Linked DNA regions of Callithrix jacchus. The protein of the gene in region 1 binds, or shares a complex with, the protein of each later gene. Links are inferred from orthologs where the notes say so. Each region holds a gene or a part of one and is shown in the gene's direction. Other genes may lie near its edges. The genes, in order: COP1 and TRIB1.

Evidence for each region.
Region 2: the proteins of COP1 (region 1) and TRIB1 are in contact, whole or in part, in a crystal structure (PDB 5IGQ), measured with the Homo sapiens proteins. The link is inferred for Callithrix jacchus from reciprocal best matches to the Homo sapiens genes COP1 and TRIB1. Residues at the interface, in NP_071902.2 of Homo sapiens: Ile423, Ser425, Val441, Lys472, Tyr491, Trp517, Asp534, Ala556, Asn557, Cys559, Ala576, Asp577, His578, Lys600, Ala601, Ser603, Thr618, Lys643, Asn644, Phe645, Phe699; in NP_079471.1 of Homo sapiens: Asp355, Gln356, Ile357, Val358, Pro359, Glu360, Tyr361.

Annotation. Positions count from the first base shown.
Region 1 is NC_133519.1:27,161,995-27,177,142, forward strand, and holds part of COP1 (E3 ubiquitin-protein ligase COP1), read left to right. Parts: intron 1-4,335; coding exon 4,336-4,453; intron 4,454-5,354; coding exon 5,355-5,479; intron 5,480-6,641; coding exon 6,642-6,802; intron 6,803-7,879; exon of another isoform or gene 7,880-11,872; intron 11,873-15,148. UniProt on the Homo sapiens protein: E3 ubiquitin-protein ligase that mediates ubiquitination and subsequent proteasomal degradation of target proteins.
Region 2 is NC_133517.1:71,930,028-71,945,790, reverse strand, and holds TRIB1 (tribbles homolog 1), read left to right. Parts: upstream 1-6,078; 5' UTR 6,079-6,636; coding exon 6,637-6,996; intron 6,997-7,444; exon of another isoform or gene 7,445-8,719; intron 8,720-9,332; coding exon 9,333-9,625; intron 9,626-12,036; coding exon 12,037-12,502; 3' UTR 12,503-14,434; downstream 14,435-15,763. UniProt on the Homo sapiens protein: Adapter protein involved in protein degradation by interacting with COP1 ubiquitin ligase. The COP1-binding motif is masked by autoinhibitory interactions with the protein kinase domain.

The DNA of each region.
Region 1 (15,148 bases):
GTATTATGCTCACACAATGACAAAATTGCCAAATGATACATTTCTTAGGATGTATCTCCATTGTTGAGCAATGCATTATTGTACTTACTGTTCAGCATCTCAAATCCAAAATCTCCAAATGCTCCAGTGAAGCATTTGGAGATTTGGAGCTCTGATTGTCATGTTGGCACTCCAGAAGCAAGGATTTGGGATTTTGGGGTTTCAGATGTGCAACCTATTAACAATTATATTAAATGTACGTATGTTGAACATTGTAACTTTCAGGGATTGGCAGAATGGGTTTACAAAAAAAAGTTAGAATCCAACTATATGCTGTCTACAAGAGATAGACATTAGACTTACAGACACAAATAGGTTAAAGTAACAGGATGGAAACAGACATACCATGTAAGTAGTAATCAACAAAAATGGTAGAATGACTGTATTTCTGTCAAACAGAATATACTTAGAGTAGAAATTGGTCTTAGAAACAAAGACATTTTATAATGGTAAAAGGATCAATAGTGAAAATATATATCAATTATCAATACACCTAAAAAACATTTTGTGGCTATATGAAAAGAAAATTCACAGTATTTTAAGGAAAATAAATAATTTGACTGAAGTTATGGAAAACTAGAATACTTCACTTTTGATTTTTCATGGCAAAACTGGACAAGAAATCAGCAGACTTGAATCACTTTGTCAACCTGACACAACAGACATCCATAGACCACTTCATCAGTAGAAGAACACACATGTTTCTCCAGCAAGTGTTAAACAGTCTACAGGAGAGACCGTATTTAGACCGAAAAGAGTCAATCAATTCAAAATAATTGAAGACATACAAAATAGTTCTCTGACCAAAATGGAATTAAATTAAAAATCAACAATAATAGTTCATTTGGGACATCCGCAATTATTTGGAAATTACATGACACATTGCTAAATAACTTGTTAGTCAAGAAATAACAAAGGAAATGTAAAAGGTTTTTAAACTGAATGAAGATCATATCATAATTTGTGGTATCAGCCGAAGCAATGTTTATAGAGAATTGTGTATTCTCAAGTGTCTGTCTTTAAAAAGAAAAACAAAGCTAACTGAAGACAAGCAGAAGTAAGGAAATAATAAAGATTAGAGTAGAAATTAATGATATAGCCAAAAGAGAAATGATAGAAAAAATTGTTAAAACTCGTAAGTTGATTCTTTGAAAAGATTAGCAAAATTGACAAACCTTTAGCTAGACTGAGGAAAAAGAGAAAACACAGCTAAAGTTAAGAATGAAAGATGACACATGACCACTGACTCACCTTTCATAAATTAAGAGTTATAGAAGTATACTCTAAACAACTGTATGCCAACTTAGTAGTTCAGTAACTTATTCAGTTATAAAACTTACTCAAAACATAGATGGAGTAAAAAATTCCTAGAAAGGCACAAATTAGCAAAACTAACTTAAGAAATAGAAAATCCGAATAGACCTTTGATGAGTAAAGAAATTGAATAATAATTAGCAGTCTACCCAAAAAACAAAACCGAGGTTCACATGGCTTTACTGGTGAATTCTATCTAATATTTAATGAAGAAATAATACCAGTACTTCACAAACTCTTCCCTGAAACCAAAGCCAATGATATCACCAAAATAGAAAAACACAGACCAATATTCTTCAAGAGTATAGGTGAAAATGTCCCCCCAAAAAATCTGCTAACCACATCCAACAGCACAAAATATATGTGTGTTGTGTGTGTGTGTATACACAAACATATATGTACACACACACACACGAAAACAGAATTTATACCAGAACTGCCAGATTTAACAATCAAAAATCAGTTATGTAATTCATCCTGTTAGTAGAATGAAAAACTAAAACCATGCAAACATATTATCAGAGACATAGAAAAGGCTTTTGACAAAACCCACACCGATTGATAGTAAAGATTAACAAACTTGGCATAGAGGGAAACTGGAAAATTTCCTCTGCCTGATACAGAGCTTTTCTGAAAATCCAACAGTAAGGTCATACTTAAATGGTGAAAGACTGAATGCTGTTCTCCCAAGATCAGCAATACAAAGGATTTTTGCTCTTACCTCTTCAGCATAGTAGTAAAGGTTCTAGCCAATACCCTAAAGGCAAGAAAAGGAAATAAAAGACATTTAGATATGAAAGCAAGAATTAAAAAATCCTATTCTACAGATAACATTATTTTATGTGTTGAAAATTTTAAGAAATGAATTTTAAGGAACTTTTAGGATTAATAAAAGTGTTCAACAGAGTCATTGAGTAAAAGATCAATATACAAAATCAACTGTATTTCCATACATGAGCAATGAACAATCCAAAAATAAAGAATATGATTCAGAATAACATAAAAAAGAATATAGAAGAAATTTAACAAAATAAGTGTAAGAGTTATACACTGAATATTACAAAAGAAACTTTTTGAGGAAAATTAAGAAGATGTAAACAAATGGAGAGATATTCTATAATCATAGATTGGCAGACCCAACATTGTTTGCCAATTCTCAAGTTGATCTACAGATCCAACTTAGTCACTCTGAAAATTTCAGTGGGTGGCAGGGCACTGTGTCTCATGACTGTAATCCCAGCACTTTGGGAGGCTGAGTTGTGGGAATCACAAGGTTAGGAGTTTGAGACCAGCCTGATCAACATGGTGAAAACCCATCTCTACTAAAAATACAAAAACTAGCTGTGAGTGGTGACATGCACCTGTGATATCAGCTACTCGGGAGGCTGAGGCAGGGGAATCACTTGAACCCAGGAGGATAGAGGTTGCAGTAAACAGATTGCACCATGACACTCCAGTCTGGGCAACAGAGCGAGACTCTGTCTAAACAAACAAACAAAAATTCATCAGGCTTTTTTGCCAAAAAATACTAAAATTTATATGAAAATGCTAAAGACCAGGGGAGCCTAAACAATTTTGGAAAAGAACAACAGAGTTGGAAAATACTTCTTCCCAATTTAAAAACTTAAAGCTAGAGTTATCAAGACAGTTCGTACTAGTAGAATGGTAGATGTATATAGATCAATTGGTTAGAATTAATAAACCAAAAGTAAATCCTTATTTATCATGAATTCATTATCAGCAGAGGTGCCAAGGAAATTCATTCAGTAAAGGACAGTCTGTTCAACAAATAGTGTTAGTAAAACTTGATGTAACGTCACAGCCTTAAATGCAAGAACTAAAATAATTTTAGAAATAGGAGAAAATCTTTAATACCTTGGATTAGTCAAAGATTTCTTGTTTGCAACATAAAAAGTGTGGTCTAGTAAAGAGAAAAAATGAAATTTCACATCCAAGATTCAAAACTTTTATTCTTGAAAACATACCATTCAGCAATTATAAACAATAGCAACAGAATGTTTGAAAAAAATTATAGAACATACATCTGAGAAGCGTCTTGAATTCAAATATTTTTAAAAATTCACGTAAACTGGAACCCTCATGTGTTGCTGATGGCAATAAAGAATGATGCAGTAAACAGTCCATTTCTTAAAACGTTTAATATTACCATGTGGCCCAATAACTACTCTTCTAGGTATCTACCCAAGAGATATGAAAACATGTCCACATAAACACTTAATTGTGATTTTTCATGTCAGCATTATTCATAATAATAAAAAAATGGAAACAAATGTTCATTACCTAGTTAGTTGATTGACAAAATGTGGTACATTCACATGGTGGATACCATTCAGCAATAAAAAAGAGCTGCTAACACACATTGAAAAATAGTTGAACCTCAAATCAGAACATTATGCAACATGTAAGAAGCCATACACAGAAGCTACATAATATTTATATAAAGAATTTATAGAGACAGACAGGAATAGAGGTTACCTATGACAGTAGATGGCAAATGAGTGATCTTAATTGGAATGCAAAAATCTTCTAAAACTGATTTATGGTGATGGTTGAACTGCTGGTAAAATTTAGTAAAGACTGTTGAACTACATACAGTATTTTCAGCAAGTGTATTTTATTATATGCAAAATATATCTTAATAATCGTTTTTTAAGGCAAATGTGGGAAATAAGATTATATAGCATTATGTTTATCCACATGTCCCAATGTTTATATTAACATTTTTTAATGAAACCATTAAAACATAAAGATTGATTTTTAAGTTGTCTATTATTTTGAACCCCTGTTACTCTCTTTTTAAAGCCAGTCTTATTTTTTGAAAAGGATTTCTTTTCCAGTTTTCTGGCTGTTAGAGGTTAGATATTATATGTGAAACTTTTAATGAAAAAAAAAAACAGTTAAAATTAACTTTACTTTCCATTTCTGTATTTACTGCATTTATCTAATTTTGTTTTGTTTTAGATCACTGTGTCCATTACTATGATCTTCGTAACACTAAACAGCCAATCATGGTATTCAAAGGACACCGAAAAGCAGTCTCTTATGCAAAGTTTGTGAGTGGTGAGGAAATTGTCTCTGCGTGAGTATTACTCTATTCAGAGGTTGAGCTTAATACAGAGCTCTGTACTTAACTTACCAGTTTGTAATGTCACTGAGGGTGTATGTAAAACTATAATATTGGAGTATATGTACTTTTCTTAAATAGTAGATTTTTGATGTCTTGTTCAATTAAAAATGTTTGGGTTCAGGTCTGTATTACACACTTTTATGTGTAATTTGTGGATAAAATCTGAAGATACTAGCTATTTATATACCTCCCCCCTTATCTAATCTTCATATGTTTAATTGCATTTGAACTTCGGATTACATTTTAGCTATTGCTTCTCAAGAAGAGATAAACAACATAGTCGATGGAATGGAATGAGAAGTATTTTATTTATTAAAGTCAACTAATACTACATATTTTATCTACTTACAGTATAGTCATAGAACTATTTTTGGTTTTAAATATCACTTGGTTGGCTTTTACACTGACATGTTCATTTCTCTGTGATTTCATGGTGAGCTTTTTTTTTCTGGGACAGATTCTTACTTTGTCACCCAGGCTGGGGTGCAGTGGTGTTGTCCCAGCTTACTGCAACCTCTGCCTCCTGGGTTCAAGTGATTCTCCTGCCTCAGCCTCTCCAGTATCTGGAACTACAGGTGCATTCCACTACACCCAGCTAATTTATGCATTTTTAGTAGAGACAGGGTTTCACCATATTGGCCAGCCTGGGCTCGAACTCCTGACCTCTGGTGATCCACCTGCTTCAGCCTCCCAAAGTGCTGGGATTACAAGTGTGAGCCACCATGCCTAGTCAACAGATGAACATTCTAACTCAGTCTGGCTCCAGAGCAAACTGTATTGATTCTAATTAGCAGTGTTGAGTTTCGTGACAAGAAATTTTAACTATGTTCTTACTCTTTGTACTTTTCCTCAGCTCAACAGACAGTCAGCTAAAACTGTGGAATGTAGGGAAACCATACTGCCTACGTTCCTTCAAGGGTCATATCAATGAAAAAAACTTTGTAGGCCTGGCTTCCAATGGAGATTATATAGCTTGTGGTAAGTGAAACCATCATTTCCAGGAACTTTTTAACAGGTATTTGAAATTCAACTCAATGGAAATAGACTAAATACTAAGGAAAAGGTCTGTGCACTCAGAAGATAGTATAATAGGCTTCATGCCCCAGCACTATTGATTTTCCTCGTGTAGTACTAGAAGAGCATTAGTCCTTCTCTTTTTTATTGTGTACAAACCCTGAACACCTGAAATAGCACAAAATTTTTAACTGTTTTACTGTCGTTCTCTATTATAACATATTCTTTAGATATTGTTTAGGAGACAGAAAAGATTAAGTTCTGTGAATAATATTTCCAATTTTGGAGACGTTATATGTCTTCTAAACTTGATATTCATTTTTCCCTATCTGCTGTTCTCTTCATGAAGTAATCTATTTGCTTAGCATTGATCTGTTATTCTAGGACTTTTATTGTTGATAATTTATACAAATTTAAATAAGAAGTAGAAAAATGAAATTTGATATTTGAATGCTCTGATATGTCTAATGCGTGAATATATGAGCTTTGATCATTACTTTTAAATGACTTGGTCTTTATTCAGCACAGTTTACTTTCTCCAAGTATGTATGAGAATGCCAAAGCAAATATCTGCAACAATTCTCCTATCTTAATAGATGGCTCAAAATTACAGTTCATAGACCATTAATAGAATAATTCCTATACTGAGAAATGGAAATAAATTGTGTATGCTGTTAAAATTTGCCTATGTAAGTGCTGCCACTTCCTTTTACCTCTCTAAATGGAAATCTTTCTAAATATAATTTAAGATCCTTGCTGTAATAACATATTTCTGATTCTACTATAGGCTTATTATCAGGTAGGTACAGAAGCAATTAAAAGTAATGACAAAAACCACAATTACTTTTGCATCAACCTTATAAATGATTTTATAGGGTAATTTCAGCCTTAAAATTATCAATATTATTATACCATTTAACACTGATTGTTTCTTTAGATTAGTAAAGTATACTTTTGTCCAAGAATCCTTTTCTTACATAATTTCTAATTAGTCCTGTGATCTAGCCTTTCAAATTTGCCCATAAAAGATCTTTGACCTAAAACTTTGGGTGATAATTTCTATTGGAATGTGATGTTCTAATTCCAAGTTTTCCTATTCTAAAATATTATTATTGTTTATTTTCAGGAAGTGAGAATAACTCTCTCTACCTGTACTATAAAGGACTTTCTAAGACTTTGCTAACTTTTAAGTTTGATACAGTCAAAAGTGTTCTGGACAAAGACCGAAAAGAAGATGATACAAATGAATTTGTTAGTGCTGTGTGCTGGAGGGCACTACCAGACGGGGTAAGTTTTCATATTGCTTTTTCCACCTTGGAGTCTCATATCATGCATTATGAATACACAGGGTTTAATTAAGTTTTAAAATATAAATTGCTGTGTGATATGTACTTTTTTTTTAAGTTTATATATAATGTGTCACCAAAGACAATAGTCATTTTTAGGTAGTGATTGAAATGCACAGTAATAGAGCAATGTCATGGTGTCATTGTGTCCCTCTGTGACCCGTAGCATCTAGTGTATATCTCAGTTATAACCATTATCATATTTTCTCTTTATATCTCTTCTATAAGACTGGAAGTTCCTCCAAAATATATACTGTCTCATCTTCTTTATTGATTATGTGCAGTATATGCTGGATAAACATTAAGCTGAGCTGGTATGTTAATAAGAAGAAAAAGAATTGATCTAGGTAAAGGAGAGTGGCCTCTATGTTCCTCTAATTAAATACTATTTCAAAGTAGAATTACTCTCTATAAAATACATTTATATACAAATATTTAAGCATGTTAAGTTTCTTAATGAGAAAATTATACTACTGGGTTGTATAAAGAGAAGTTGCCTTAAACTTTACTGTTACATTTTAAAGTGTAGGGTTTTCCATAAGTTGTATGAAAAACTAATTTTTGTTACTATCTTGATTTATATAAACATGAATTGTTAGTATCGTATTTTTAAAATAGCTTTTTACATGCTTAGTTGGTTTCATTTTTGACAAAGAAATTCTGACTTGATATGTAATTTTAAAATTCAAATTTCAGATATAGTTTCACTTTAATTAGATATATTCTATTGCTGGGTCCATTTCCAGTTTTGCTAATTGACATACTAGAAAATTTGGACCAACTCTTCCTCCAAGTAGAATTAGAAAAGTAGGACCAAATGTATGTATTTTATAAACAGGAACCTATTTGAAAGCATTAGAAAGCACACAAATACAGGAAAGAATGACCAGATTAGGATTGTGGCTTTTGAATCTGCTTTTCCCCTGTGATCATTTGTCAGTTTTGGTGGGGTGGGTGAAAGCACTTATATTAGCTTCACAGGGTTGCAGGGACTGGAGCTCAGCACCTGTCATTGTATGGTTGACTACTTTAATCCCCAAATGGATATAGTATAGGGGAAACCAGTAGAAGATAAGCCTTCATAGCGATTGCATCTAAACTGCATATCAATCTCTGAAATTGAATTGAAGTGACCCTTGATTGGTAATATCCACTGGATGCAAACTTAAATCCTCTCTGAACAAAGATAAGATAATCTAAGGGCTTAACTTATTTTTTTTCAGTTTTGTAACTACAATAACTAGGGTACAATCAAAAATAAATAGACACAGTAAAAGATAAGACAGCATGAATTAAACCAGCATAAGCAACAGGCTATAGAAAATAATATTGTCTGGTAACTCCAATATTTAGAGCTGCTGTGACTCTAAATATTGGAGTTATCAGACAGCTTGAAAGTAATTATGCGTACAACTTGAAAGACAAGACTGAAAATTTTAACTGAGAACTGGAAATAATTTTTAGAATGAAAATTCTAGAGTTGAAAAAAAATTACAAAAATTAAGAATTAGTGGATGTGTTGAATGGAAGACAAACTAAAAATAAGAATTAATGAACTGATAGGTAAATTAGGAGAAAATACACACATGGAAGCATAGGAAGACAAAATGATGGAAAAGTACAGATGGCAGATAAAGGATCAAGTAAGAACCTATAACATATTCAATAGGTGACCTACCAGGAGACAAGAGAAAGAATGCAGCTAGAGCAAATATTAGAAGGGATTATTGTTGCTTTTCGATCCGCCATCTGCGCCTCACGTGGGGCCGCCACCAAAATGCAGATTTTCGTGAAAACCCTTACGGGAAAAACCATCACCCTCGAGGTTGAACCCTCGGATACGATAGAAAATTTGAAGGCCAAGATCCAGGATAAGGAAGGAATTCCTCCTGATCAGCAAAGACTGATCTTTGCTGGCAAGCAACTGGAAGATGGACGTACTTTGTCTGACTACAACATTCAGAAGGAGTCTACTCTTCATCTTGTGTTGAGACTTCGTGGTGGTGCTAAGAAAAGGAAGAAGAAGTCTTACACCACTCCCAAGAAGAATAAGCACAAGAGAAAGAAGGTTAAGCTGGCTGTCCTGAAGTATTACAAGGTGGATGAGAATGGCAAAATTAGTCGCCTTCGTCGAGAATGCCCTTCTGATGAATGTGGTGCTGGAGTGTTTATGGCAAGCCACTTTGACAGACATTATTGTGGCAAATGTTGTCTGACTTACTGCTTTAACAAACCAGAAGACAAATAACCGACTTAATAAAAGACATGAACTAAAAAAAAAAAAAAAAAAAAAAGAAGGGATTATTGTTGAGAACATCAGTTGATCTGTGATACCAAGGCAGAGATTCAGTAAGCCTTTCAACTGCAGAGAAGGAACGACTAGAAATCTACAGTGTGATTGAAGGTAGAACATCATACTGAAACTTTGAACATACGTAGGCCTGCCTGAAAATCTGACCTTGGGTCCGACTTCTTATAGCGCTATTTCCTTGTAAACATCCTGAGTTAAGAGAAATATGGAATGTTATATGCCAGGAACTAGCTATCTCTTAAATTTACTAAGAAAACTTACCTGCGACATCACACCTGGACTGAGTGAGAGAACTCTGAATTGGCATAAGGGCCCTACATCTATGAAAATTGAATAGTGTAAGATTGGCAGGTAACCAGGGCACATCTGTGGATTGAGGTAAACCACATGCATCTCAACTGTCTCTGGCAATAGTGAGTACTCTTCGTGTATGTGGGGGAATGATTGTTTGGCCTCCTTAAGAGTTTTAAGATACTGTGTGCTAAATTCTATCCTGTATCCTTCTATAAATCTAACTGAGGGCTAGATTAAAGCCTCTTGTATCTGATCCTATGACCTCTGCCAGTGGTAGGATTGGTCACACCTTGCAACACAGTAAAATTGCTGAAAATAGCTAAAATACAAAGAGAGTGTATTAGTCAGTTTTCATGCCACTAATAAAGACATACCCAAGACTGGGCAGTTTACTAAAAAAAAAAGAGGTTTATTGGACTCACAGTTGTGGCTGAAGAGGCCTCACAATCGTGGCGGAAGGTAAAAGGCATGTCTCATATGGCAGTAGACAAATAGCTTGTGTTCCCTTTTTAAAACCATCAGATCTCATGAGACTTACTCAATATCATGAGAATAGCACGGGAAAGACCTGCCCCCATGATTCAAGTACTTCCCACAGGGTCCCTCCCAAAACACATGGGAATTAAACATGAGATTTGAGTGGGGACACACCCAAACCATATCATTTCACTCCTGGCCCCTCCCAAACCTCATGTCCTCACATTTTAAAACCTATCATGCCTTCTCAACAGTCACCAGAGTGTTATTTCAGCTTTAACTCAAAAGTCCAAAGTCCAGCAGCTCATCTTAGACAAAGCAAGTCCCTTCTCCCTATGAGCCTGTAAGATCAAAAGTAAGTTAGTTAATTCCTAGATACGATGGGAATGCAGGCATTGGGTAAATACACCCATTCCAAATGGGAGAAATTGGCCTAAACAAAGGAGCTACAGGCCTCATGAAAGTCCAGAATCCAGTGGGGCAGTCAAATTTTAAAGTTCCAAAATGATCTCCTTTGACTCCATATCTCACATCCAGGTCATGCTAATGTAATAAGTGGGTTCCCATGGTCTTGGGCAGCTCCACCTCTGTGGCTCCCAGGGCACAGCCTCCCTCCTGGCTGCTTTCACAGGCTGGCATTGAGTGTCTGTGACTTCCAGGTGAATGGTGCAAGCTGTCAGTGGATCTGTCATTTTGGGATCTGGTGGATGATGGCCCTCTTCTCACAGCTCCACTAGGTGGTGCCCCAGTAGGGACTCTGTGTGAGGGCTTCAACACCGTATTTCCTTTCTGCACTACCCTAGCCGAAGTTATCCATGAGGGTCCCATCCCTACAGCAAACTTCTGCCTGGATATCCAGGTGTTTCCGTACATCCTCTGAAATCTAGGCAGGGGTTTCCAAACTTCACTTCTTGACTTCTGTACACATGCAGGCTCAACACCACATGGAAGCTGCCAAGGCTTGAGGCTTGCACCCTCTGAAGCCATGGCCTGAGTTCTATTTTTTCCCCTTTTAGTCATCACTCGAGTGGCTGGGACATGGGACACCAAGTCCCTAGGCTACACACAGCATTGGAACCCTAGACCCGGCCCAAGAAGCCACATTTTTCTCCTAGGCCTTCGGGCCTACTATGAGTGGGGATGCTGTGAAGACCTCTGACACAACGCTGGAGACATTTTACCCATGGTCTTGGGGATTAACATTTGGCTCCTTGTTACTTATGCAAATTTCTGCAGCCAGCTTGACTTTCTCTCCAGAAAATGGGATTTTCTTCTCTGTCACATTGTGAGACTGCACATTTTTCAAACTTTTATGCTGTGTTTCCATTATGAAACTGAATGCCTTTAATGGCACCCAGGTCACTCTTAACGTTTTTTCGCTTATAAATTTCTTCTACCAGATAGCCTAAATCATCTCTCTCAAGGTCAGAGTTTCAGAAATTTCTAGGGCAGGGGTAAAATTCCACCAGTCTCTTTGCTAAAACATAACAAGAGTCATCTTTGCTCCAGTTCCCAACAAATTCCTTATCTCCATCTGAGACCATCTCAGCTTGGATTTCATTGTCTATATCGTTATCAGCATTTTGGTCAAAGCCATTGAACAAGGCTTTAGGGAGTTCCAAACTTTCCCACATTTTCTTGTCTTCTTCTTAGCCCTCTAAACGGTTCCAATCTCTCCAACCTCTGCCTGTTAACCAGTTCCAAAGTCACTTCCACATTTTGAAGTATCTTTTCAGCAGCCTCCCATTTCTGGTACCAATTTACTATATTAGTCCATTTTCACACTGCTGATAAAGGCATACTTGAGACTGGATAATTTATAAAAGAAAGCGATTTATTGGACTCACAGTTCCAAGTGGCTGGGGAGGGTTCCTAATCATGGCAGAAGGTGAAAGGCACGTCTCACATGACAGCAGAAAAGAAAAGAAAGCTTGTTCAGAGAATCTCCCCTTTTTAAAATCATCAAATCTCATGAGACACATTCACTATCACAAGAACAGTTTGGGAAAGACCTGCCCTCATGATTCAGTTACCTCCCACTGGGTCCTTGCCACAACATACGGGAATTTAAGATGAGATTTGGGTGAGGACACACCCAAACCATATCAGAGTAGTCTTTTTCATTCCTTTAAACCATCAATTTCTTTTCCTTTTGGCAAATAACTGTATTTGTGGAGTACAATATGATATGTTCATGTACATTATGAAATGATTAAATCAATCGCATTGTGAGGCTGCAAATTTTTTGAACTTTTGTGCCCCCTTTCCCTTATGAAACTGAATGCCTTTAGCAACACCCAGGTCACCTCTTGTATACTTTGCTACTTAGAAATTTCTTCTACCAAATACCCTAAATTCTCTCTCTCAAGGTCATAGGAATGAGCATATCTATCTTCTCACATACAGATTCTTTTTTAGTGGGAACATTTAAAATCATATTCTCTTAACAATATTGAAATATCCATTATACTATTATTAACTACAGTTACTCTGCTATGCGTCTCAAAAACTTTTTTTTTTTTGGTCTAATTAGCTGAAAGTTTAGAGCCTTGGGCCAACATTTTGGCATCCTCCCACTCCCATCCCCCGCCTCTGGCAACTACCATTCTATTCTCCATTTCCCTTGAGTTCAACTTTTTAAGATTCCTCATATAAATGAGATCATGCAGTATTTCTTTCTTTGTGTGGTTTATTTTACTTAGCATAATGTCCTTCAGGTTCATGTAAAGCTGAATAGTATTTCATTATTTATATACAGTTTAACCTTGAATGACATATGGGGGAAAGGGGCACTGACCTTCCACACAGTTGAAAATTTAGGTATAATTTGATTCTCTGACCCAAAAGCTTAACTACTAATAGCCAACTGTTGATTGGAAATCTTACCAATAACATAAATTGATTAACACACACTATATACTATATTTTTACAATGAAATAAACTAGAGAAAAGAAAATATTAAGAAAATCACTAGAGAAAATATATTTACTATTCATTCAATGAAGTGAATCATAAAGATCTTCATCCTCATTATCTTCACATTGAGTAGACTGAGAAGGAGAAGAAATAGGTGGGTTGGTCTTTCTCTGGAGTGGCAGAAGAAGAAGAAAATTTGCATATAAGTGGATCCTCACAGTTCAAACCTGTGTTTTTCAAGAGTCAGCTGTATACCACATTTTTTTATCCATTCATTTGTTGATAGGCACTTAGGTTGATATCTTATCTTTGCTATTGTGAATAATGCAATGAATAAAGATTGCACATGTTTTTTCAGTGTCCTAACACATTTTCTTATCCATTCATTTGTTGATAGGCACTTAGGTTGATTTCTTATCTTTGCTACTGTGAATAATGCAATGAATAAAGAGTGCACATGTTTTTTCAGTGTCCTAATTTCAACCCTTTTAAAATTGAAGTGGGATTCAATGCCCAGAAGTGTGATTGCTAGGTCATATTGCCATTCTATATTTAGTTTTTTGAGGACCTCCATGTTATTTTCTATAAGGGCTGTATTCATTTACATTCCTACCAACAATGTTACAGGGGTTCCCTTTTCTCCACATTCTTGCCAATGCTTGTTATCTTTCATCTTTTTTTTTAACATGCCCTATTTCACAGGTGTCATTTTTCTTTTTGATGATAGAAATTCTAGTAGGTATGAGGTGATATCTCATTGTGGTTTTAATTCAAACTTCCCTGATGATTAATCATGTTGAACAATTTTTCATATACCTGTTTAGTATTCATATGTCTTTATTTGAGAAGTGTTTATGCAGGTCTTTGCTTATTTTTTAAGTGGTTTGTTTTCTTGTTGTTTTGGTGTTGCATTGTTTATATATTTTGGTTAACACACTAACTGATGTATAATTTGTGAATATTTTCTCCCAGTTGATATGTTGTCTCTTCTCTCTGTTGTTTCTTTTGTTGTGCAGAAGCTTTATATTGATGGTTTGATGCATTCATGCTTGCCTATTTTTGCTTTTTGGGGGTTGTAGCGAAAACATTTTCCAGAGCATTATCATGGAGCTTTTATGTTTTCTGATAGTTTTATAGTTTTGAGTCTTATGTTTAAGTTTCTAATCATTTTGAGTTGATTGTTGTATATAGTGTGAGATAAAGACGCAACTTCATTCTTCTGCATGTGAATATCCAGTTTTCCCAACACCATTTATTGAAGAGACTGTCTCTTCCCGCAGAGAGATTCCTTTTTTTTCCTTCCCTGCCCCAGGACATAGGCATAGGCAAGGGCTTCATGACTAAAACACCAAGAGCAATAGCTGCAAAAGCCAAAATAGTCAAATGGATCTAATTAAACTCCAGAGCTTCTGCACAACAAAAGAAACAATCATTAGAGTGAACCGGCAACCAGTGGAATGGAAAAAAATATTCTCAAGCTACCCATCTGACAAAGGGCTAATATCCTGAGTCTACAAATAACTAAAGCAGATTTACAAGAAAAAAACAACCCCATCAAAAAATGGGCGAAGGATGTGAACACTTTTCGAAAGAAGACATTTATGCGGCAAAAAAAAAAACATGAAGAATGCTCATCATCACTGGTCGTTAGAGAAATGCAAATCAAAACTACATTGAGATATACCATCTCATGCCAGTTAGAATAGCGATCATTTAAAAATCTGGAGACAACAGATGCTGGGGAGCATGTGCAGAAATAGGAACACTTTTACACTGTTGGTGGGACTGTAAATTAGTTCAACCATTGTGGAAGACAGTGTGGCAATTCCTCAAGGGTCTAGAACTAGAAATACCATTTGACCCAGCAATCCCATTACTGGGTATATACCCAAAGGATTATAAATTGTTCTATTATAAAGACACATGCACACATGTTCACTGCGACACTGTTTACAATAGCATAGACCTAGAATCAACCCAAATGCCCATCAGTGATAAACTGGATAAAGAAAACATGGCACATATACACCATGGACTACTATGCATCCATAAAACAGGAAGAATTTATGTCCTTTGCAGGACATGGACATGGCTGAATCTGGAAACCATCATTCTCAGCAAACTGACACAAGCACAGAAAACCAAACACCGCATGTTCTCACTCATAAGTGGGTGTTGAACAATGAGAACACATGGACACAGGGAGGGGAACATCACACACTGTTATCTGTTGGAGGTTGGGGGACTATGGGAGAGATAGCTGGGGTGTAGAGGTTATAACATTGGGA
Region 2 (15,763 bases), on another chromosome or scaffold:
ACTCCCAAGTCATTCTCCTGGCTCACCTCTCAAGCAGCTGGGACTACCGGCACACGCCATCACGTCTGCCTAATACTTGTATTTTTAGTAGAGACGAGGTTTCAGCATGTTGACCAGGGTGGCCTCGATCTCTTGACCTCGTGATCTGCCTGCCTCAGCCTCCCAAAGTGCTGGGATTACAGGCATGAGCCACCTTGCCTGTAACAGGGGTGGAGGCCAGGCTCAGTGGCTCACACCTGTAATCCCAGCACTTTAGGAGGCTGAGGTGGGAGGATTGGTTGAGCCCAGAAGTTTGAGACTAGCCTGGGCAATCTCCACAACAAAACAAAACTGCGTAGGAGAGGAAAACTAGGCCATTATTAGGCCCATTTCACCAGTGACACAACCGAGGCTCATAAAGAGCCACTGGCTTCCTCAAGTGAGTATGTGAAAAGTCTGAGGGAAGTTCAGTCCAGATTTTGTTGTTAGTGAAGCTCTCTGTAAAGAAATCAAGACCATTTTAGCTGACTTATGCCTCAGCCTGCCTGATCTCAGGCCTTGCCAAAGGTCCATGTCCACTTTCCCCTGAATGCAGGCTGGGAGCCCCCCAAGCTTAAGCCCCTACACTCCACCTCCCATTACCTCTCCAGGGCCAGACATTGAACTCTGAAATCCGACTCCTACTTTCCAGCCCCCATCTCTGTTGGAAGGCCAGTTTTTCCTCTCCATCTGTCATCTCAGGCTCTTCCTATGGGTGACCCTTTGCCCTGGAGTGCATTTATTCGGTTAACACTTACTAAGCACCCCCCTTATTTTTGGGAGATGGAGCTCTGTTGCCCAGGCTGGAGTGCAGTGGTGAGATCTCGGCTCACCACAACCTCCCCCTCTTAGGTTCAATCGATTCTTGTGCCTCAGCCTCCAGACTAGCTGGGACTACAGGTGCCTGCCACTACCCCCGGCTACTTTTTGTATTTTGAGTAGAGATGGGGTTTCACCATGTTGGCCAGACTGCTCTCCAACTCCCAACCTCAAGTGATTCACCTGGCTGGTCTTTCCAGAGTGCTGGGATTATAGGTGCGAGCCACTGTGCTTGGCCTTAGTCCCTTTTTGATAATGGACACTGGGCTGGGGGCTGGATGAACATGAATGAACAAGACACAACCCCTGACCTCTGGGAACACAGTTGTGTGGAAAGGGTTGTGGGATTGGCTTGACAGAGGACTCGACAGCATTTGGTAAGACACTGAGATCTGACTGCAGGTGCTGGGGAAATCCAGATGGTGTTTTGAAGGATGAGTAAGAGTTCCTTTTCTTGGAAAAGGAAGAGAGGGAATTCCAGTGGGAGGGACCAGCACAGGCTGGAGCGCAGAGGTGTGAATTGGCAGATTGATGAGTTTGGGGCCCTGCCAGGAGCTGGCATGGGTAGGACAGAGGGGAGGAGGTGAGAAAGGTGCGGGCTGGAAGGGAAGCGGGGCCTGGAAGAGGGCCTACTTTTCCATACTTCGGTGTTTGTATTTTATCAAGGGGTGGGGTTCCCTGCAAGGTTTTAGGTGAGTGCCTTATATGATCACATTCAGATTTTAGGAAAATGACTAACAGCTGTGTGGGAATGGATCAAAGGGATACAGGACATACTGTATTATATGCATCACTGTGTCTCCAGAGCTTAGTAGGTGCTGGCACAGAGTAGGAGCTCAATGTTTGTTATACAGGACATACTGTATTATATGCATCACTGTGTCTCCAGAGCTTAGTAGGTGCTGGCACAGAGTAGGGGCTCAATGTTTGTTGAAGGGATGAATGAGTGGCTCCGTTAGGAGCTTACAGCAGGAATGCAGGGGAAGGTTGTGAACTAGGACTATAGAGGTCTGCATGTGGGAAAAGGATAGGGTTTCTATTAAACAGGGTCTGGGCAGAAAAATGGAACTCAGGCCAGGAATTTCAGTAGAAAGAATTTATGTGGGCTGGGTGTGATGGCTCACACCTGTAATTTCAGGACTTTGGGAGGAGGCCTAAGCAGGGAGTTCACGAGGTCAGGAGTTTGAGACCAGCCTGGCCAACATGGTGAAACCCTGTCTCAACTAAAAATGCAAAAATTAGCTGGGCACGGTAGTGCACGCCTGTAGTCCCAGCTAGTTGGGAGGGTGAGGCAGGAGAATTGCTTGAACTTGGGAGGCGGAGGTTGTGGTGAGCTGAGACTGTGCCACTGCCCTCCAGCCTGGGTGACAGAGCGAGGCTCTGTCTCAAAAAAAAAAAAGAAAAAAGAAAAAAGAATTTATGTGGAGAACTAGTTACAAAGGTATAGAAAGGGCAGAAACAAAACGGAACAAAAGATGGTGCTGGGGGCCACCCAGAGGTTAGCAGCATCTGGAAGCAGCTGGAGGGACAAAAGTGGTTTCGCCTGCTCCCAGAAGCCAGAGTCCTCGGAGTGAGCTTGGACCATGAAGAGGGGGTGCCACGGCTTGAGCTCCCCAGGAAGCCGACTCTGAGATGCAGGCCAGCCTGCGGGAGGTTTATTAGGGGATACCATGGGAAGAAGGCCAGGAAGGAACAGGATTGGGCAGAGGAAAAAGCTGGCCTGTGATGCAATTTTAGGAAGGCCTCAATTGACCCAGTCTGGGAGCTCTGAAGCTGGGATGCCTTTGAGAGGTGGCCGAAGTTGGGACAAGGGGACCTTTATTCTCCCATGATCAGCAGTCACTAGATGTGGACCCCTTGGGAAGGGAGTGTGAACTCCAGCAAGGTGGCTCTTCTCAGTCAAGGCCATTTCCGAAACAGCTCCTGATAAGCACTCCCAGCAGCCGGGGAGATACCTTCTCCAGTTGGGCAGTGGGATCCGGCGGCAACGCAGAGGGGCTGCCTCCCCGGAGCCCCAGAGGAGGTGTGGCCGGCTGCTCCAAGCAAAAAGTAGTTCTCTCCTTCCTCCCGCCTTCCAATCTCCCTCCAGGGCCTCCCACTGGGAAAATTGGGCTGGAGGCCAATGGGCAAGAGAGCCTGAGAAGCAGAGCTAGCAAGGGCCAGCCCCAGGGAGCTGAACAGAGCGGGGTACGGCACAGCACCGAGAGCTTGTAGGTCTAGGGTAGACTATGGGAGAGAGGAAAAAGGCAGATTGAAGGGGAACCTACAATGAGTGCCTGTGATTCTGGCCCCCGGGTGGGTGGGGCTGGGTGGATGGTGGCATGCCTTTCTCTCAGAAGAGGCAGAGAAGGAGGCACACGTTGGGGAGGAAGATGCTCCAGGGCCATATTGACATTGCCATTCAAGTACTGGCAGCTCAGTGGATCTTAAATTCTGGCACAGAATTATCTTCGAAGACAAAAAAACCTTAAGTGGGGCCGGGCGTGGTGGCTCAAGCCTGTAATCCTAGCACTTTGGGAGGCCAAGGTGGGTATATCACTTAAAGTTAGGAGTTCGAGACCAACCTGGCCAACATGGTGAAATCTCGTCTCTACTACATGTATAAAAATTAGCCAGGTGCGGGGTGCCAGGTGCCTGTAATCCCAACTACTTGGGAGGCTGAGGCAGGAGAATCACTTGAACCTGGGAGGCAGAGGTTGCAGTGAGCCGAGATCAGGCCACTGCACTCCAGCCTATAGGCAACAGAGGGAGACTGTTTGAAAACCAACCAACCAACCCACCCACCCTGAGGCGGGCTCTCTTCTGGCCACAGGACCAAGTGCAACATGGCCTTCAGGCCCTTCCCAACATTGTCCCAGGCGATCCCTGCAGGCTCAGCTCCCACCACCATTGTAGTTCCCCTAGCCTGCCCACTCTGCCAGCCCTGCCTTTCCTCACACCCCTTGGCTGGCTGGCCTGGCCTCCCACCACTCATAGCCTCCCTTGAGCATCTCCCTTACAGTCCTGCACCTCTCCCAGGTCAAATGGTTTCCAAAGAGAGTCCTCCCTCCCTAACTCCTGTTTTCCCCTGCAAATTGTAATCTCTCCTTCCAGCCGCCATAAGTGCTTAGGAGCTTGGCTGGGCCATCCCTTATGAGTTACTTAACTTCAGCAAGTAACTTCGTCTTTCCTTTTTTTGAGACTAAGTCTTGCTCTGTCCTGAAGGCTGGAATGCATTGGTTTTATCTTGGTTCACTGCAACCTCTGCCTCCCGGGTTCAAGTGACTCCCATTTCAGCCTCCCCAGCAGCTGGGATTACAGGTGTGCCCCACCACACCCAGCTAATTTTTGTACTTTTAGCAGACAGGATTTCACCATGTTGGCCAGACTGGTCTCAAACTGCTGACCTCAGGTGATCCACCCACCGTGGCCTCCCGTAGTGCTGGGTTTACAGGGGGGAGCCACCTCACCTAGAGTGACTCATCTTCCTAAGGCTTCAGTTTCTTCCCTGTGAAATGGGGCAAAAAATAACCCCATAGTGTGGTTGGAAAACTGAAGTAATATATGTAAAGTGCTAAGAATAGTGTCCTCACACATTGTAGGCCTCGATTCATATTGGCTATTATTATTTTAATTTTCTTTTTTTTAAAGATGGGGTTTCACCAGGTTGGTCAGGCTGGTCTTGAACTCCGGACCTCAGGTGATCCGCCCGCCGTGGCCTCCAAAGTGCTTGGATTACAGGCGTGAGCCACCACGCCCGGCCCTATTATTTTAATTTTCATCTTCTGGTTCCCAGTGTTTAGCTTTTAGTAGATGCTTAATTAGTATTTGTTGAATGGAGAACTAATCAGGAAAATGATTTATTCTTGGGGCTCAACCTGGTTTTAGAAAATTAAGTATTTAGCAGAAGTGCGAGGAAGAGCTCTCTGATAAGTTATATTGTTGGGTGCCCAGGGACTCCAGATTGACATGGTTCTCTAAAGAAAGAAAAACGACAGATTCCAAGTTGTTTCATGCACAACTTTCATGATCACCCAAATCAAGCGGCATGAATGCACGCACACCACCTGGCGGGGCTGCCCGGCTGCAGGCGGTATCCCTGGCAGTGGCCAGGACTTCCACAAGCCTACCCACCTACCCGGGTTGGCACTGAGGACTTAGACCCAGCAGCGCTTGTGGAGGCTGGGGAGGGAGCAGGAATCCGGCGGCAGCCACGTGGGCCCCTTCCGCCAGCTCCCCACATCCTTTGTTTCCCACTGGCCCTGGCTCAGGAAGCTCTTTCTGCGAGTCACTGCGAAGGGGCGGCCCGGGAGCCAGGAGAAGCTATTTCCGTGCAATCCGGGCGGGCGGCAGGCGCGGGGGATTGGCGGGGCGGCGGGGGGGGGGGGGGCGTGGAGGTGGAGGCAGCGCAGAAGGCCCAGTGTTTGCTTTTCTTTCATCCAACAGAAGGTTCTATTTGTGGAAGCGAACAGACGCTGGGGATTAGAGCTGGGAGGGAGCAGGAAAAGGGGGGAAAAAAGCCACATCCATTACCACGCACAGGTCTTCCCCGGAACTACCGCGTGGGGGTGAATGACTGATTCTGGAATTCATCACCTCTCTATCCCCCACTTCCTTGGCGGCGCCCACGGCTCCAACCGGAGCTCCCCAAGCGCTGGGCGGTGGGGAGATCCCCGGGGCCAAAGGCGTCGCCGCGGGGCTGCAGCGAGCAGCCGGTGCAGAGGACCGTGGTGCGCGCTCCCGCTTCGCGCCCGCAGCCCATTGTGCTTGCTGTGAATGAGGCGCGCGCACCAATCAGCGGTCGCTTCTCCCTCCACCCCCCGCCCACTTCCCGGGACCCTGACGTCACGGGAACTTTTCCTCCGCCCCCTCCTTCGGCTTCTCGAGCTGAGCCGGGGGCCGGCCGGAGGGCGCGCACCGCCTGCTGCCCAGCCCAGCCCAGCCCAGGGGGCGTGTGCGCGCGCCCAGGCTGGCCCGGGGCGCACCACCTGCGCCCGAGCGTGCGCTGCCCGGAGTATCCCCTGCCCTCGGGCCACCCCTATCCCCCCAACTCCCGCTCCTCCTCCCCTCCCCCCAGTCTCCTCCCTCCGCTCCGGAGACGGCTCGCCGGGCGGCGGGGCCGGAGTCGTCGCAGCCACCTCATTGCACAACCCGGCTTCCCAACTGTTTACACAGCCCGGCCTGTGAGTGTGTGTGTATACAGCGTGAGTCACCGGGAGGCGGAGGAGGTGGAGGAAAAGGAGAAGGAGGAGTGCACTGGCCGGGATCGGTGCAGCGCACACACTCACTCGCAGTCACTCTCTCTGAGCGCGTCTCGCTCGCTCTCACACACGCCCGGAGCCCAGGAGCGCGCGGGATCCCGAGCGCCGCGAAAAAGTTCCCCCGGCTTGCGCTCGAGACTCATCGCTTTGGGAAGTGCATTTGCTTCGTGGCTCTGCCGAGTCCTGTCCTCGCGGCTCGGGACGCCGGGATCGCCGGCCGCCGCCGCCGCCGCTTCTGCCTCCCGGACTGTCTGTCGGCAGCCTCGGCAACAATAGTGGCGGCCGCCCCCAGCGAGGCTCCCGGAGCCCTTGCCTGCAGGGGTCGGGGGACCCGAGCCGGCCTCTGCTTCCCGGACTCACAGCCTGCGTGGTCCCCGCGTGCAGCGCGAACGCCGGGGAGCGACTCCTGCTTTGCCCCTCGTGGGGGCCGAGCCCAGCCCCATCTGCAAACTCCATCCCCACGGGTGGAAGAAGTCGCGGCGCCGGCGCCAAGCCCGCAGCGCCTTCCCGCGCGGATCCCGGGACTTACAAAGCCGGGGCTGCTCCGGCCCGGGACGGGATGCGGGTCGGTCCGGTGCGCTCTGCCATGAGCGGCGCCTCGCAGCCCCGCGGCCCGGCCCTGCTGTTCCCGGCCGCCCGAGGTGTTCCGGCCAAACGCCTGCTGGACGCGGACGACTCGGCGGCTGTGGCGGCCAAGTGCCCGCGCCTCTCCGAGTGCTCCAGTCCCCCGGACTACCTCAGCCCCCCCGGCTCGCCCTGCACCCCGCAGCCCCCGCCTGCTGCGGCGGGGGCCAGCGGCGGCTCCGGGAGCGCCCCGGGGCCCAGCCGCATCGCCGACTACCTGCTGCTGCCCCTAGCCGAGCGCGAGCATGTGTCCCGGGCCCTGTGCATTCACACTGGCCGCGAGCTGCGCTGCAAGGTAGGCGCTCCCGGGCCAGGACCCGGCGGGGTTCTGAGGCTTGGGACAGGGTGGTCGGCAAAGGTGCTTGGGGTCCGGCCAACGCTTGAACTGGGCACAGGACGGATCAGTGGATTGGGTCCGATAAGACTGCTTTTGACCAGGTTCACCTTTTTGTGGATTGGGCGGTTTCCCATGGAGTGGGTTAAGGGGGCTCCTAGAGGAAGTGCAGCGTTCAGTTGCTTTCTCTCTCTGATCCTTTCCTTAGCGTCTCAGGGTAGCGCGTGGCGTTCCATATAAGTTGTGGAATTGAAATGGATTCCAGGGCCATGCCATTCCCCTTCTCTCATTATCCTCACTCTCCACCTCCCGCAACGCTCCCCCCCCTCCCCGCCTTGTCCTGGAAGGACGCCCTGCAGTGGGTGCCTCCTGGGAGCTTGAAGCAGCTGGTAGCTTTCTTGCCCGGCTTAGTTGTAGGTGGTAAGGGGGCTGGAAGACTGTGTCCGGCTCCTGCCTTGGGGATTCCGAATTGACTCCGCGCGGCGACTAGAACACGCCCTCCCAAGGGAGCAGTCCCAAAGCCTTCCACCCGAGGCAGAGGAATCTGTGCGGAGTAGAACTGTTGGAAAGCCCACACCGGCCAGAAACCCTCGCTTCGATTCACTTTATTTTCCAGCCAGCGATTTTTCCTTTGAACCTGGGGATCCCATCCAGGAGGAGGAGACACAGCACCTAGAAATGGGATCCGCCGAGTCCTCCTCCTGCGCCTGTAGACGCAGAAGGTTCCCACAGTCTACTTTCTGCGAGCCTGACACCCCTGTTTGAGTCACCACAGAGCACCCTCGGGCTGCTCCTTTTCACCCGAAAGATAGGATCACCCCCAGTTAAGCCGCTTCTGGGTTTTCCGCAACTCACCTGACACTCCCAACACCCGGACCCTGTCCCGGGGCTCGCTGCTGCCACCTACTGTCCAACTTTAATGAAATTTCAAACGCACGATCAAGCCTAGTTGAATAGGCGGAAAAAAAAACCCCCCTTTTCTTCATGACCGGGGTTAAGAGCTGTTCTGGGAGAGGCATGTGTGTGTGGTGGGATGGGGTGGGGTGGGAGGAGGGGGCAACAGGGGCTTTTTCTAGCTGGTGCCAGAGCAGCCAGGCCTCAGAGGTGGGGTGAGCCTGGCCATTGTGCAACCCTTCCAGTTCCTCTGAGCAGATAATAGCTGAATCCAGATGGTGACAGCCGTGTGTCACCGTTTCCAGTTGAGTCTAGGATATGAGTAACTGGACTAAACAAAAGGCCTTTAAAGGACCAGCCAGCTTTCTAGAAGAGAAGAGATACTACTCATTTCTAGGGGTGGGGTCGGGTGTGTGAGGGGGATAAACAAACAAATGAAAAAGCCTTTCTCGGGATCCCTTACCCCTCCTGTGAGAATTGTAACTCAAGGCTGCTTACACTTGAGTCAGACTCTAGGCAGGTTGCTTAAGGCTGCATTGTCCCTGCCTCCCCCTCCGAGTCATCTGCTCTTTCTGATTAATGACAACTCTGCATGTTCTCTGGCCCCTGCTTCCCCTTGGAGGCTGCAGAGTCACCACTTTCTGTGCCCTTTCTGTGCTGAGCACGTTGGGTCTGCAGGAGGCACATGTATATGCATGTCTGGGGTCCGCTTTTCAGTTCCTGGACATGCCAGGGGTGTCCTATCAGCCATTCACGAATGTAGCCTGCAAACAGGGCAGGGCCAGTGAGGGTGAGGGCTTTGCTTAGCTGTCAGGAGCTGATGGAAGACGGGAACATGTACATAAGACAGTTTTTTTTTTTTTTTTTTTTTTTTTTTGAGATGGAGTCTTGCCCGGTCCCCCAGGCTGGAGTGCAATGGCATGATCTCCGCTCACTGCAACCTCCACCTCCTGGGTTCAAGTGATTCTCCTGCCTCAGCCTCCCAAGTAGCTGGGATTACAGTCACCTCTCTCCACGACTGGCTAATTTTTGATTTTTAGTAGAGGCAGGGTTTCACCATGTTGGCCAGGCTGATTTCGAACTCCTGACCTCATGATTCGCCTGCCTCGGCCTCTCAAAGTGCTGGGATTACAGGTGTGAGCCACTGCGCCCGGCCAGAAGACAGTTCTTTCAAATAATCTGTGTGAATGCAGGAAACCCTTTCAGTGTTTGCAACTCTAGAGCCCTAGGGGTTACTGGTTTTAAAGGCGTTGCTAGCCGCTGTGGCTTTGGAAGGTAAAGGGGAGTAGATGAATGGAACTTACATCCTAAGCCCAAAGGTTGAGAACTTCGGATCAGCTCGGTAAGGGGTTTGGGAGCCACCTTTGCTGTTCTACCTCTAAATGGACCCCTTCTCTCTGCAGGTGTTCCCCATTAAACACTACCAGGACAAAATCAGGCCTTATATCCAGCTGCCCTCACACAGCAACATTACCGGCATCGTGGAAGTGATCCTTGGGGAAACCAAGGCCTACGTCTTCTTTGAGAAGGACTTTGGGGACATGCACTCCTATGTGCGAAGCCGGAAGAGGCTGCGGGAAGAGGAAGCCGCTCGGCTCTTCAAGCAGATTGTCTCCGCCGTCGCCCACTGCCACCAGTCAGCCATTGTACTGGGAGACCTGAAGCTTAGGAAGTTTGTCTTCTCCACGGAGGAGAGGTGAGCGGCCGCCACGGCTTCTCCTGTGGCCTTTTGGAACCAAATGGAAGGAGCAGGTCGTGTAGTTAGGTGCTGTGTGCTGGTGCAAAATGAAGTCGAGGGTTCATATGTCCCAGATTTAGTATTTAGAGCTTCTTTTCCTAAGGAGTCACAGCCAAGGTTGGTTTATTCTGCATTCTCTTGGATGGGGCCTGGGGGCACTGTGGCACATCTGTGGGATGGCACGTGTTGACAGGGTGCCCTCCCCTCTCCTCCCGCAGGATCAGGTTCATTCGCCATTGTTATCAGAAAGGTCAGCTGTTTGGGGTACAAATATTAAACCGCCCTTTACAATATTGCCTTCTAAAGGAAGTGTTCAAATCTGCTTATGCCAAGTGTTGCTTTGTACCTAGAAGGTTTCGCAGAGCTAGTGAGACTGTCATGTTTGCAGAATTCCCAGCCTCTTCTTTCACACTGCATTCCTGTCCCATCTCAGACCGGGTCCTCCGTACTCGCTTCACATTCTCTGGTGACTTTTTAGACATCTTATTTGGATACGTCTTCAGAAAATAGCCACACTGAATGATAAATGGAAGTTGGCTAGGATGGATTGCTAAATATAGATCATAGCTTACCTCATAAAGAACAAGATGAGCTTGATAAGAGGGTAATGAGGCATTAAGATTCAAAGCTGAGGTTTCAGACTAGAGAATTCAGGAAGCCGCATGAGATAGACCACACTTGATTTTAAGAGCCGGGGCCACATCCCTTGTGGAAAGATTAAGAGCAGTGAGACTGTAGTGTTGTAGAGGTGAGAGAGTGAGTTATTTTGTTGTAAGAAGTGGGCTTATTTCACCTGTGCATTTTTACCTTTGATTCCAGAGCATATGAAACAGTACAGGGTTGAGCTGTCATAAAGCATGAGTTGGTATCTGACCTCGCAATAATTATTGGAACATACTGATTAGCAAAGCAAAGCAAACTGTTGGCAGTGAAGAAGTTTCTAATTCCTAGAATATGCTCCTTTGATACGGTGATGCACTTTCTGAAACATGCCTTACACACCTCCTAACTAGCTTTTGAAATCCGCATTGCACAGGCGAATGTCATGGGCATGGGGTTTGGCAACCTGAGGGTTAAGCAATGTCAGGCTGACGCTATTCATGTAACCAGCACAGGTGCAGGGTTTTAGTGCTGTAGCAGCCAATCATGGGGAGACAGTGTGGGTTGAGTCATATTTTCCGTTTACAGAACCAATGGGTATTTTACATAACGACAGGGAGGTCACGCTGAGGACATACTGAAGTTAGCACATGTATACTACACTCCAGGGAACAGGAAGGCAGGAAGAAAAAAAAAATACCAGACCTTTGAGAGGAAAAGGAATTGACCCATCAGCCAGTACCAAATGTTTGCATTTAACTTCACTAGTGACTTACTGAAACAGGGCGATTTCAGAGAAGCAGGCAGAGGCAGGGTGTCACCAGATATTAGAGCTTTCCCACCTGGCTTTGGGCTTTGGGGAATCCAGGAGACATGGGTGGTTGGTTCTGAATCAGGAGGCACCTGCAGCTTCATAAGAGAGCCTTTGACTGAGGTTTCTGGGACTTTCGTAGTTACCTGAAGACAGACGCCCCTGTAGAATAAATATGCCCACATGTTAATGTGCCGTCGAGGGGAGTGTGTGTCCCTATAGAAGAATTTCCGGGGCCCTGCCTCCCTGAAATCCCTCATACTTTTGTTTGTGGGCATAACCTCTTTGTCCAGGCAAAGTGTTCTTTGCAGTTAAACACCCCAATAAATGTAATTAACATTCCTTACAACTTTCCCATCATAATTGTCACAGCCTGGGCCTAGGTGGACAAAGTTCATTCTGCGTGCGTGTATCAGTGTGGGCACCCGCGCTGAAAACCTGTGTATGTAATAGCAGTGACTTTAGGCTCCGTGTTCTGTAATGCAGTGTGGGTCCAGGGAGCCCCGGCAGTTAGCGGCATAAGAGAAAAGATGGGCTCGTAGGATGCTCAGGCCCTCCCTGAAGAAGCAAGATCTGCTGCTCTTCCCTGATAGCTTTTGTAGAGAACGCAGCACTCCCCTGAGACAAGCTCCCAGTTCTGCAATGCGAACTTAGTAGATTGTGTAACTCCTATTAGGATATCTCTTGTAAGCTCTAGCATTATGAATACTATTTGGGGCTTTGCATCATACCCTCCACCCCAGGCGCTCTGTCGATACTTTGCAAACATGTATTGCAGTTTGTGTTGGTTTGTGAAATCACGAGTCCCCAGCAGTTGCAGGCGCTGCTTACTGGATGAAGGGGTAAATAGCATTCCTTGAGCCTTTGCTGTTAGTGCCTGTGGGCGCTGTTATTGGGAAGGCTTTGTTTTTCATAGCAGCTGGTATGGCAATAATGGCTCGGTTCCTCTCTCTTGCAGAACCCAGCTCAGACTAGAAAGTCTGGAAGACACACACATCATCAAGGGGGAGGATGATGCTTTGTCAGACAAACACGGCTGCCCAGCCTACGTGAGCCCTGAGATCCTCAACACCACCGGGACCTACTCTGGAAAGGCTGCGGATGTTTGGAGCTTAGGGGTGATGCTGTATACCCTTCTGGTTGGACGATACCCCTTCCATGACTCGGACCCCAGTGCCCTTTTCTCCAAAATCCGGCGTGGACAGTTCTGCATTCCTGAACACATTTCCCCCAAAGCCAGGTGCCTCATTCGCAGCCTCTTGAGACGGGAGCCCTCTGAGAGACTCACTGCCCCCGAGATCTTACTGCACCCCTGGTTTGAGTCCATCTTGGAACCTGGGTACATCGACTCAGAAATAGGAACTTCAGACCAGATTGTTCCAGAGTACCAGGAGGACAGTGACATGAGTTCCTTCTTCTGCTAATCCCCAAAACCTCAGAAACCTCATAATTCTTACACCTGGTATTTCCATTTCTAAAGATGGACAGGCCCTTTGGCATGGTATCAACCAGATAATGACTGCGTTAGGATGAAGGCTGCTGAACTCGGCATGGCGCCACCTCTTATCTGTTGGGAGGAGTGACTTTACTGATGTGAGCGGCATACGCTGTGATTGGCTGCCCTGCAAAGTTATTTCTCTTAAGGAACTCTCGCCAACTCTCTGCTGGATTTGGGAGTTCCGCACCTTTTACGGATGGCAGGAGTATGGACATCCTACACCCGGTGGTCAAGTGTGTCATAAACTCGAGCATTTGAATGGGAGAAAAAGCAGATCGTATGATGACATATTTTGGGCAATAACCGTATTTTAACAGGGTGACACATTGGGCCGTTCAGTCTGCCATCTTTGAACTCATCTCTGGTAGCTAGACGTGCTACCGCAGCTTCTCTGACGGGAAGGTTCCTTTTTTGATTTAACACTCACCCATTCTTCACACTCACATTCAATGACTCTGCTCCGTTTTTGGAGCAGACCGTTTTAAGTTGCTCAGGAGCTGATGGAACCATGAACCCAGACTCTCCTCTGTTTCCTGCCAAGACCACATCTGCACTAATGCCTTCTCCCTGACCTTGACACTTTCCCCCTCTAGCTATGAAAGCACTTACCAGCCAAACGTGGACAGCATCGCAAAAGATTCCACCTCCCCACGATTTCAGAACTCTGAGGTCAGACAGAGAGACTCCAGATTTTAAGAAATAATATGAGTGCTTGGAAACTATTTGCTTTTTAAGTTCCTTCTAAATATGTTAGTACCTACCCTTTTTACCCACCCTTTACTTTTTCCCCAAGACCATCTCAGGGTGGAGCGTTCTGTCTAGGAGGAGGAAGATAAGGAGGCTCCTACCCACCTCTCCCAAAAGCAGACATTAAACATCTCTGCGCTTTGAAGAGAGTGAATTTCGGATAGTCTTCTGATTCTCAGACTAACTTCCAGAAGTACACTTAAGCCCTCCCAGACATGGTCCGCCTCTGGCGTTGTGTGTGCAACTGCAGTTTTGCATGATGGGTTGTTGATATTTCAGATGTGTGGTTTATGAATATATCTGTATAATCGGCTTCTGGAGCGAAACAGCAAACCCCAAATCTTTAAAGTTGGAAGGGTCTTCAGCAATCATCCGGTCCAATCTCTTTCCTCTTTCTGCCACCTCCCAAGGCAGAAATCCCCCCTTCAGCTTCTTTCGTAGGTGGGAATCCAGCCTCTGTTAGATACGTCCAGAGATGGGAACTCACTCCCTCCAAAAGACAGAGCTTTAATGGAGAAACTATAACTTCCATTAAAAAGCAAGTTCAGATGAAATATCAGTAACTGTCTTGGACAGTGCTGAAATCAGGTGGTTAAACGGGTAAACAAAAACATACTGTATTTTGAGAAATGGCACAAACATAGGCAGTCATCCTTAAGGGCTACGCCTAGGCAAACTACTAACATGCATTGTGAGAATGCCGTGTATACCTCACGTACTGTGTACTTTGTAATACATTTTACCTTTTATACCTGTGTCCGATTTGTTGTGTTTTGTTCTGGCTTTGAGGCTTGTTTTGTTGTCTGTGTCTGTCTGAATCACCTGCGTGTCTAAAACCACGTGAAATGTGAATGATTATTGGCAATATTACCTTGACAGAATCATGGGACTTGGAGAAGTGGGGACAGAGGCCTCTGTCTATAATGCTCTCGTGGTTGCTCGACTGTTGTATCTGTGATACATTATCCGGCTAAGGACGCTGGGTTGGCAGGGGCTTCTGCCGGGAAAGCTAGAAACACTAGGTTCTTCCTGTACATATGTGTATATATGTGAACAGTGAGATGGCCGTTTCTGACTTGTAGAGAAATTTTAATAAATCTGGTTTCGTAAATAGGTGTGGTGAATTGCTTTCGAGTTCAATCTGCTTTGCTTTATGCAGCTTCACCCAGAGGTTGCAAAGGTCTCCGGCCTCAGGGCTTACCATCTGGTTGGGGATGGGCAGCAAGGGGAAGGTGGAAGAGGAGACATGTTGATGGTGATCAACAGTGACCTTTGTCGGACTTGAACCCATTTGCTTTTGTCTTTCCAGTGGGCAGATTTATTTTGATGGGATGGAGTCCATTTGGTGACACCAAGTTGGTGGGTGCTTTGGATTAGATTTAGACTCAAAAAACATTTTTTATTTTTATTTATTTATTTATTTATTTATTGAGACGGAGTTTCGCTCTTGTTACCCAGGCTGGAGTGCAATGGCGCCATCTCGGCTCACTGCCTCCTGGGTTCAGGCAATTCTCCTGCCTCAGCCTCCTGAGTAGCTGGGATTATAGGCACACACCACCATGCCCAGCTAATTTTTTGTATTTTTAGTAGAGACGGGGTTTCACCCATGTTGACCAGGATGGTCTCGATCTCTTGACCTCGTGATCCACCCGCCTTGGCCTCCCAAAGTGCTGGGATTACAGGCGTGAGCCACCGCGCCCGACTCATTTTTTATTTTTTTTATGCTCTCTTTATTTTTATAAGACAGGGTTTCATTGTATTAGCCGGCTGGTCTTGATCTCCTGACCTTGTAATCCACCTGCCTTGGCCTCCCAAAGTGTTGGGATTATAGGTGTGAGCCACCGCGCCCAGCCTATTTTTTATGCTCTAAGCAGAATCAGAATCAAGAAATATTTGAAGATGAGCATGCATAAATTAACCTTGAGTTCTAAAAATCAACTTGTCTGTTTTGGGCCATGGACCCCTGGGAATTTGAGAAAGCTGAGAACAGTGTCACGTGCATAAAACAAAATTTTGGATTGGCTGCCGTGGCACATGCCGGTAATCCCAGCCCTTTGGGAGGCCAGGGTGGGCAGATCATGAGGTCAGGAGTTCGAGACCAGCCTGGCCAACATGGTGAAAACCTGTCTACTAAAATACAAAAGTCAGCTGGGCATGGGGGTGGGCGCCTGTAATCCCAGCTACTTGGGAGGCTACGGTAGGAGAATCGATTGAACCTAGGAGGTGGAGGTTACAGGGAGCTGAGATCGTGCCACTGCACTCCAGCCTGGGCGACAGTGAGAGTCTCAAAAAAAAATTTTTTTTTTGTCATTGCAGCGCTTCACACAGATCTCCGAAGGTATCCTGGGACTTCGGATTGTGAACCAATCCCCTTTCATTAGACTTAATTAAAATGGCTAAGCAAGGCATTTTCTTTCTTTTACTTTTTTCTTTAAGTGTA